3 linked regions of the Solanum lycopersicum genome follow. The protein of the gene in region 1 interacts with the protein of each later gene in a pairwise test. Links are inferred from orthologs where the notes say so. Each region holds a gene or a part of one and is shown in the gene's direction. Other genes may lie near its edges. The genes, in order: B3 domain-containing transcription repressor VAL2, peroxisomal targeting signal type 2 receptor and uncharacterized protein.

Region 1 (3,665 bases):
CCGCCGCAAGGCGCGGAATTCCATGCGCCTTGCGGCGGTTTTTATTTAAAAAAGAATTTTGTTTAGTTGATAGTAATTGATTGTTTTTTAAAAGTATACTATTGGGCTTAATTATCCTTTTGGCTCCGGACACGGAAATATCTCTTGCCCAACCTGATAAGTTTTGGGCAGGTTTTAAATAATTGGGTCAATTTTGCTACCCCTAGTTCTTTGCTTTAACTCAACATTGAAGCAATGATGCTGGCAGGTCAATACTCATTATCCACCTCTATTTGAGATAAAGGGGGTCAGGTTAGACATAGTATTTATGAGATTTGAATTTTTGACACTCCAAATACAAGCCTTTGCCTATCAGTCTTTGTTAAAGCCAGTCAGCTATTCTGGAATTAGAATGACAGTAATAGGGCCAATACTTCTTTCACTTTTCCAAGTTTAGTATTATTAGCTATAAAACAACGAGTTCATTGTTAACTACTGTAACTTTTAAGTTGGTCTGACAGGATGATCCTTAATTATATTTACTTCTTGTAACAACCAACTATTTTCCTATTCATACACTATCAGAGGGAGGATAGTCGCATTGAGTACTTATAGTATTAACATAGTCTGGTTCCTAACAGGTTTGAATATAAGAACGTTATGCCAGGAAGTGAATAGAGTGAAGATGCAAATATCGTATGGAATATTTTTTCCCATCTTCTTCTAGGTATCTAATATGAAAGAATTTGTTTTTTTTTTAGGTTTTTACTGAAAATGTCTGGTGTACTGGCTCAATGATTCAATATATTTATAGAGTCCTTCAACTACTAACAAAAATTATTTTTGTATTCTAAAATCAAGATAATAAAACAGAACATGAGTTTCACCTCTGTAGTCTTGCTGACTTCTGTGCTCATATTCTTGCATTGATCTTGCTCATGAGTTGGTCCAGCTCCTGATAAGCTCCACATGCTCAAGAAATGGATAGAAAGCGGGAGAAACTCATGTTTTTCTCTAGTGAATGAATTCCAAAATTTCGTGTTGTGGAGAGTCCCACATCGGCAATGGAAAAGGGAATTTAGACTCTTTAAATGATCTTGGGCAATCCTCACCTCTTGAGCTAGCTTTTGGGGTTTAGTTAGGCGCAAGGTCCATCTGACTTATGTGCTCATATTCTTGCATTGATCTTGCTCGTGAGTCTGTCCAGCTCCTGATAAGCTCCACATGCTCAAGAAATGGATAGAAAGCGAGAGAAACACGTGTTTTTCCCTAGTGAATGAATTCCAAAATTTTCGTGTTGTGGAGAGTCCCACATCGGCAATGGAAAGGGAATTTAGACTATTTAAACGATCTTGGGCAACGCTCACCTCTTGAGCTAGCTTTTGGAGTTGAGTTAGGCACAAGGGCTATTTCTTTAGTACCTGTCATTTTATGTTTTTGTTCCTTGTTCGTTTTTGTGCTCTCTATTCAGACTTAGGATTCTACTACTCATTTCTCATCCTATAAGAACATTTAATTACATGTTTTTGTTCATTGTTCGTTTTTGTGCTCTCTATTCAGACTTAAGATTTTACTACTCATTTCTCATCCTATAGAACATTTCATTGCAGTGACTTTCAGCCGCATGGATCCAGAAGGAAAGCTTTTAATGGGGTTTCGTAAAGCATCAACTGTTAAAATAACTCAGGTAACTATTCCACATAGGGGCTTCGTCTTGAGTTCACTTTAGTGGCTTATGGGATATAATATTGATTATATTGCCTAAACAGGAAAATCGTCTGTCAGCCATACCCAAGAATGTTTTCTCTACTGAACCCACCTCCTTCTCAGCAATGCCTGAGAATCTACCTTTGATGAGTGGTTATTCTGGCCTTCTTCAATCATTTAAAGGAAGCAGGGAGTCTTCTGTGAATTTATCCTCGAAGCATTTCAATAGTGGTGATTTTAGCTGGTACTTAACGGAGAAGAACGGAGGCAGGAATGCAGATGGTGCCTTCTCCCCTTCAATGCCTGTATCAGAGCGTAAAAGAAGTCGTAATATTGGGTCAAAAAGTAAGAGACTGCTCATTGATGCCCACGATGCTTTGGAGTTGAAGCTTTCATGGGAGGAGTTACAGGATATGCTCCGACCACCACTGAGTGTTCAGCCAACCACTGTCACCATAGAGGACCAAGAATTTGAAGAATACGAAGTATGTAGCTTTATCTTTGAAATAATCTGTGCTGCTCATGCTTTGTGGTTGAACTAGATGAATTTCACATTATCTTAATCGACGAGAATTGCTGTTAAGATTTAATCATTCCGCTAAAAAACTCTGGCTTTGGTTTGTAACTTTGTTCTTCAAAATGCAGCAACCACCTGTTCTTGGGAAGAGGAGTATATTTACTGTCCGCTTATCTGGGTAAGAAAGAATATCTTATCAGAATGTATTCCACTACTCCAACATGTTGCTTAAAAAATTATGAGAAAGGACATCAGCAATAACAGACCGTCATAAGTTACCTTTTCTGAATATTTTCACTAACAAGGAGTCGAGGGCCTATGTTGCTTAGACTCCAAAACAGCTACCACAACCGTGTCAAATCCTCCAAAAAAGCTTAGCTTTTGGACGATCTGAGACGCACGCGGCGACCTAGTTAGATGGCTGATAGGAAACAATATTATGTTACTAACTGGTTTGGTCAGCATGAAAATGTGAAGAATGTCCCTAAAATAGGTAAATTCTAACTCATTCTGCTGCTACAAGAAGAGCTTTCCTCTTTCCAAAAAGTTTGGTCCTAAGACATAGCTCTCTGTACAGTGGCTGTTTCCTCTGAGAGACTCCTTTCTCCCGTCATATTCCAAATATTTCTTTTATTCAGACATTAATTTTGGAAGCTGATAGATATAGTGGTGCTGTCTCTTCCCTTGGCATTCTTTGACCTGTTTATTTCTCCAATGGTTAAGAAAACAGAAAAGAGATAGGAGATGACAAAATAATGGGAAGATATCGGAGCGGGCATAGACACAAGAGGCACCAAATAGGATGACATCACCAATTCACTGTTGAAGTTTGAACTGTAGACTGTAATTTGTTCCACATATTCAACTGCAACAAATACTCTTACAAAACATATATTTTCTTTTCTAAAGATTCTTTTTCATGTCCATCATTGACATTTGATATTCCTTAGACTGCTCAAATTGGAAGTTTTACTGGTATATCACTGATCCCAGGGAGCAGGAGCAGTGGGCTCAATGTGATAATTGCTTTAAGTGGCGAAAGTTGCCAGCTGATTATCTTCTACCTCCTCATTGGACATGTCAGGACAACATTTCAGATCATAGCAGGTCAGGACACCGCAATTCAAGGAATTTTGCTCAACAGCACTTATGCGACTTAAAATTAGACTAATCATGCTCATGTTCTCAGGTCCTCTTGTTCCATCCCAGACGATTTAACACCCAGAGAGCTTGAAAATCTTTTCAAAATGGACAAGGGTGAAGTAACTTGTTGCTTTAGTTTTAGTGTATATTTCGGTCATGCACCAGCTGGTTCTTATATGATAACGTCCTAAAATTCACGAACTCTTGATTTAATATACTTATGTAATGCCTTCATTATTTGTAAGCCTGTAGTTGTGCTAAACTAAATTTCATTTACCGATCACATAATTAACATGTAGCCAGTTGTGCACATATGATA
Region 2 (2,841 bases), on another chromosome or scaffold:
TAATTTTTGTGTGATTCAATTAAAATATACTAATTTGAATAATAACAAACAATTATATTTTCATAATATTAGTTAAGAACATATATTTATTTTAACTAATATATCTTCAAAATACAATGTATCTTAAATATTTAGATATTATTTATGAAATTTCTTCTTTATCTAAAACAGTTGTATATTCTAACAATTGATGTACAGTGTAATTCCACTATGATGAACAAACAAATCAATATAATTAGGGAAAAATGTCTGAATATATTTAATTTTTGATCAAAATTGTTATAACAATTTCAATTTGGGCAGGACTTTTTACTCTTTTGCACTATAAATAATGTATTTTAAAGGTATATATATGCCCACGTGGATATTATCAATATTGCATCATCACAGATAGTATAACTTATCTACATGATCACATATATGCTTTTAAATACACTATTTCCTCCGTTTCACAAAGAATGATCTGGTTTGGCTTGACAAAGGATTTAATAATATAAAGAAGAATTTTGAATCTTGTGGTACTAAACTAAAATTAGGTCAAACGTATAAAATTGCTTTTTGATCTTATGATCTTAAACATGTCAGGTGGAAAATTGAAATTAAAATGTTACAAAAAAAAAAATTATTCTTTTTGAAACAGACTAATAAAATGAGATTATTCTTTTTAAGACCGAGAAAATATATTAAATAATGCAAAGATAATAGATTTTTCTCAAAATTTTAAATTGTTAGAATAATTTCTATTGAAATTAACATATTTCAAATCCTTTTAGCATATAATTACTAAGCTATCCCTATTAATACATCAATTCGATTGATTTTCCAAACAACCCTTATATCTCAAATACAGGACGATTTTGGGGGAAAACCCCTTTTACATCGGGAAAGTAAATCACCGGCAACAATCAAATCAGCGCCGACCGCTGTCCGCCGTCCGCCGACCGCCTAAGATGCCGGTATTTAAAACTCCATTTAACGGTTACTCCGTAAAATTCAGTCCCTTCTACGAAAACAAACTAGCTGTGGCCACTGCGCAGAATTTCGGCATCCTTGGTAACGGGAGAGTTCACATTCTTCAGCTCAATCCAAACGGACCGGTATCGGAACTTGCGGCTTTTGACACAGCTGATGGAGTTTACGACGTTTGCTGGTCGGAAGCTCACGATTCACTTGTTATTGCTGGAAGTGGCGATGGTTCTGTGAAACTCTATGACCTTTCTTTGCCTCCCACCAATAACCCTATTCGTTCTTTTAAGGAACATACACGGGAAGTTCACTCTGTTGACTATAATACCGTGAGAAAAGATTCCTTCTTGTCAGCGTCTTGGGATGATACTGTGAAGCTATGGACTGTTGATAGAAATGCCAGTGTAAGGACTTTTAAGGAACATGCTTATTGTGTCTATTCCGCTGCTTGGAATCCAAGACATGCTGATATCTTTGCATCTGCTTCTGGGGATTGTACTACTCGCATCTGGGATGTCCGCGAACCAGGTTAGCTTTGGATACATGTATTTGGCTGATCATACCTAAGAAAAATGATTCATTTCAACTGGTTTGACTAAGTTTTGATTAGTTTTTTAGGAGATTAATGATTTATCATTTTAACACGTATAATTCATGATTTGTGAAGGTTCTACAATGATTCTGCCTGCACACGAGTTTGAAATCCTCACATGTGATTGGAGTAAGTATGACGATTGTATCATTGCAACTGCATCCGTTGATAAGTCAATCAAGGTTTGGGATGTTAGGAATTATAGAGTGCCAATATCAGTGCTTAATGGGCATGGATATGCAGTGAGGAAAGTGAGGTTTTCACCACATAGAGCGAGTGCAATGGTTTCTTGTTCATATGACATGACAGTTTGCATGTGGGATTACATGGTGGAAGATGCACTTATTGGGAGGTATGATCATCACACAGAGTTTGCTGTAGGAGTTGATATGAGCGTTCTCGTTGAAGGTCTATTGGCTAGTACAGGATGGGATGAACTTGTTTATGTTTGGCAACATGGAATGGACCCTAGAGCTTCTTGACAAAGGGAAGTCAAACATTTTCTTCTTTTTACTTTTATGTACTTAATGCTAAGAGAGGAAGTGAATAAACTGCTTATGTTTGGAAACATGGAATGGGAACTATTTATGATGTCTGCTGTTGAAGTTGTAAAATAATTTGAAGTTTCATTGTATTTAAGATTTTGGTAAAACCTTGGTAAATGACATTTACACCAAACAGCTTTGATGTTTCAGAAAATATGCGCTATATGTCAATCACTTTGGGTTCTGTATGCTTTTTTGGAATGTCAATTCCCTGAATTTCTTTAACATTATTCAGAATTTTACGAGGGGCAGTGGGTCGGGTAAGGGTTGAAAAGAAGGCACATACTTCTGATCGGGGTTTAGCGTGTTCTGTTTATAAAAAATAACAAACGGAGATCCTATAAGAGAGCTTACAGAACAGGTACTTCATTTCAAATATGTGCAATGCCATTTTCACTCAAAGGCCTGCATTCATACTTCAGTGGAAGATTCGTCCCTGATCAAGCACTTAGAGTCATCCTATAAGAGAGCGTACAGAACAGGGCAATGACATTTTCACACAAATGCCTTCATCCTTACTTCAGTGGAGGATGCATTCCTGATCAAGCACTTAAGAGTAGTCATTCTTGTAATTCATATTTTCATGTTAATTCTCTCAAATGTCTTGCTTACTTGTGGGATAATTAATGTCAGTAAACATGTCATGGGGGCTGTATTTTATTTTACAGTGCATTTTGAGAGAAGATAGACAACTAAATTTGCACAACTACACTCTAAAGGGTAAAAGGATAAATAATC
Region 3 (2,734 bases), on another chromosome or scaffold:
GAAATTTTCCAACCTAGCAGTAAGTGGTGCCATGAGCGTTTATATGGACGGAAAGAAGAGTTCACAGAATATTTATAAAGTAGGCCCTTCTCTAAATCAACTTCTATAGATTGAGATGCTAGGTATGTGTTCGGTATTTTTATTTAATTCTAACTGGATCAGAATTGATCCTCGAAAAATCAGATTTGTTCTTTCCCGCTCTAGGATCATGAAACTAATTCACGTTCACTCCTACTTATCTATATCTATTATTTTCTAAAAACTACCTAAAATTTTGGACAAATATCTCATTTGCTTTTCTATGTCCAATGCATGAAGTCACCAGGGGAAGTTTTTGTTACAATCCAACATTTCCTCCTTAAACTTATGTCTGACATCTATTGCACTTCCTCATATAGATTATGTATCAGATATTTAATAACCTTTTTCTATATGAATTATGATGGTAATTTTTGAACTTTGTGCTATCTCCTTGATTTCATCCATCATTAGCTTATCATAGTTAGCCTCTACAATTTAGCTGATGGAATGTCTGAGATTATGCCACACTGATTTAGTTACCACAAACTTACTTTTCTATGGTCTCTTTGTGATTTGCAGAATATCTGTAACTTTTGTTGACAAGGATGGTGAAGAGAACCATATCAAGGTCCCTGTTGGAATGTCTATGTTAGAAGCTGCACATGAAAATGACATTGAACTTGAAGGTCAGCTTTGTTGAGGTGTCTTGGTTCATATATATTGAACGGATCTTATAAATCGTCAACTACTTAAGTTTGCTGATATTTTAATTATGATAAGGCGATTTAGTGAATCTTGGTACTAGTTCCAGTCAGTTGGGAGGCATTTATTGGATATGTTAGAATTTTCATCTAACATCATCTTGCAGTCCTACCTATCCAAGAAGTTCCAAGAGAACAATGGAAAAGAACGTAGTGTTCCCTTACATATTCGAACATAATGTGTTGGAATTCCCAAAATTGTTTCGAAGTTAGTGGTATGGTTGGGCTCTATGAGTTCCAGAAGGCACCGTCTTCATACTAGAGATACTACTGAAGCGGGGATGGTGATGGTAAGAGAGGAAGTTTGTAACATATCTTTACTGTTTCCTGGAGAGATGGTGGTTGAAGATATGCACATGGGACGATTTTATTAAGACCGTCTTAAATGAAAGTTTGTATGTTCACGATACTCTTCCAGTTTCGACTTCAGTATTAGATACTCCATAGCCACAGATGCATACATCTAGGCAAAATTACATGATTGACACATGCATGCCTACTTATTGTGGTTTAGGACACCGTCAGATAAATAAAAAAACGTTGTTAGAACACTTCTAGATACTCTTGTGGTGTTAACATTTCTAAGCACGACAACCAAATGCTTTGCTTAACTTGACTAAAACTGTATGGCCTTTGATGCAGGAGCATGTGAAGCTTCGCTTGCCTGTTCCACATGTCATGTGATTGTTATGGTAAGTAATTGTGATCGGGATAATGTCATTGGCTTCTTTTTTCCGCCTGGCTGGGAGCTACTGAGCTACTCAATACCATCTTGCTTGTTTTGATCTAATAAATACGCTGTATTTCTTATCTATTCTTGTGGCGTTTCACAGGATATGGAGTATTACAACAAGCTAGAAGATCCAACAGATGAAGAAAATGATATGTTGGATCTTGCTTTTGCTCTCACCGATACGTAAGTCTCTTGCTTTCTACTATTTAGCAGTTCCCATGATCTATGAATCTTCTCATTCTCATACATTCATCGTCTTCAGGTCACGTCTAGGTTGTCAGGTAATTGCAAAACCTGAACTTGATGGCATTCGATTAGCTCTCCCTGTTGCTACAAGAAACTTTGCTGTTGATGGTTATAAACCGAAACCACATTAGAACTTTTTCTACCATAGATAAAAGATTTTATGGTTCATGTCTAACAAACACACGAGTCAACAGATTTTGTGGGATGATTATACTTATAGGAACCATTTTGATTACTTATTTACTTGTTTCACTGGTAATATTCCGGGCGATATACTGGATTCATCGTCGTGGTGTCTGCTTGTCCATCCTCACAATAATACTCACACTAGTTCTGCAGAAACCTCTGTATTCTTTTACATCAAATTCAATGTAATACTAGTATTATCATTCTAGTATTTGCACTCATAAATGGCTAGAGACGTCAAAATGGGCTTGGCCCGCGAGGCCAGCCCAACCCTTGAAATAAGTGGGGTTGGGCTTAATTTTTTTTGGCCGATTTAGGAATGAGGCTTTTAAGCCCGCCCCGTTTGGCCCCTTTGCCTCATAAGTCCAGCTCGCAAGCCACATAGGTCAGCCCGCGGGCTATTAATTTTTGAAAATATTTTAATATATATTTTTAGTAGTGTTTTATTTGTCAAGATTTGATAAATAAATATTTTGAAGAAAAAAAAAACAAAATTTTGCAATATCTTGTATGGTGAATTATAGATGAAGATGAACTTCTTAACGAAACAATATCACATGTTGATTCAAATGTGATCGGAAGAAGCGGAGTCGTAAAACTTTAATTAGTGGGTCATGTAATATTTAGTAATTTAGATTTGTTAAGTATTTGGGTTGCCTTGTGTTGCTGGAAATCTTTTAAATCAACTAGTTTTTTGTGGGAGAAATGGTGGAATTATCAACATTTATTTGTTAAATCTTACGTTGGTTATTATATATTTTTGTAAGTATTCACCAAAGTGTGATTC

The links.
Region 2: the proteins of B3 domain-containing transcription repressor VAL2 (region 1) and peroxisomal targeting signal type 2 receptor interact in binary tests that used the Arabidopsis thaliana proteins (3 or more experiments, as listed by UniProt). The link is inferred for Solanum lycopersicum from reciprocal best matches to the Arabidopsis thaliana genes HSL1 and PEX7.
Region 3: the proteins of B3 domain-containing transcription repressor VAL2 (region 1) and uncharacterized protein interact in binary tests that used the Arabidopsis thaliana proteins (3 or more experiments, as listed by UniProt). The link is inferred for Solanum lycopersicum from reciprocal best matches to the Arabidopsis thaliana genes HSL1 and MFDX1.

The regions. Positions count from the first base shown.
Region 1 is NC_090809.1:57,741,269-57,744,933, forward strand, and holds part of B3 domain-containing transcription repressor VAL2, read left to right. Parts: intron 1-1,589; coding exon 1,590-1,666; intron 1,667-1,748; coding exon 1,749-2,171; intron 2,172-2,331; coding exon 2,332-2,381; intron 2,382-3,196; coding exon 3,197-3,310; intron 3,311-3,392; coding exon 3,393-3,460; intron 3,461-3,665. UniProt on the Arabidopsis thaliana protein: Transcriptional repressor of gene expression involved in embryonic pathways, such as LEC1, ABI3, and FUS3. Repressor of the sugar-inducible genes involved in the seed maturation program in seedlings.
Region 2 is NC_090802.1:30,672,696-30,675,536, forward strand, and holds peroxisomal targeting signal type 2 receptor, read left to right. Parts: upstream 1-829; 5' UTR 830-950; coding exon 951-1,494; intron 1,495-1,633; coding exon 1,634-2,040; 3' UTR 2,041-2,238; downstream 2,239-2,841. UniProt on the Arabidopsis thaliana protein: Receptor required for the peroxisomal import of proteins containing a C-terminal PTS2-type peroxisomal targeting signal. Specifically binds to cargo proteins containing a PTS2 peroxisomal targeting signal in the cytosol.
Region 3 is NC_090800.1:2,918,587-2,921,320, reverse strand, and holds the end of uncharacterized protein, read left to right. Parts: intron 1-600; coding exon 601-707; intron 708-1,424; coding exon 1,425-1,474; intron 1,475-1,615; coding exon 1,616-1,698; intron 1,699-1,774; coding exon of another isoform or gene 1,775-1,777; coding exon 1,778-1,892; 3' UTR 1,893-2,155; downstream 2,156-2,734. UniProt on the Arabidopsis thaliana protein: Associates in vitro with the adrenodoxin reductase MFDR to form an efficient low potential electron transfer chain that is able to reduce cytochrome C. Functions as accessory mitochondrial protein involved with BIO2 in the plant biotin synthase reaction.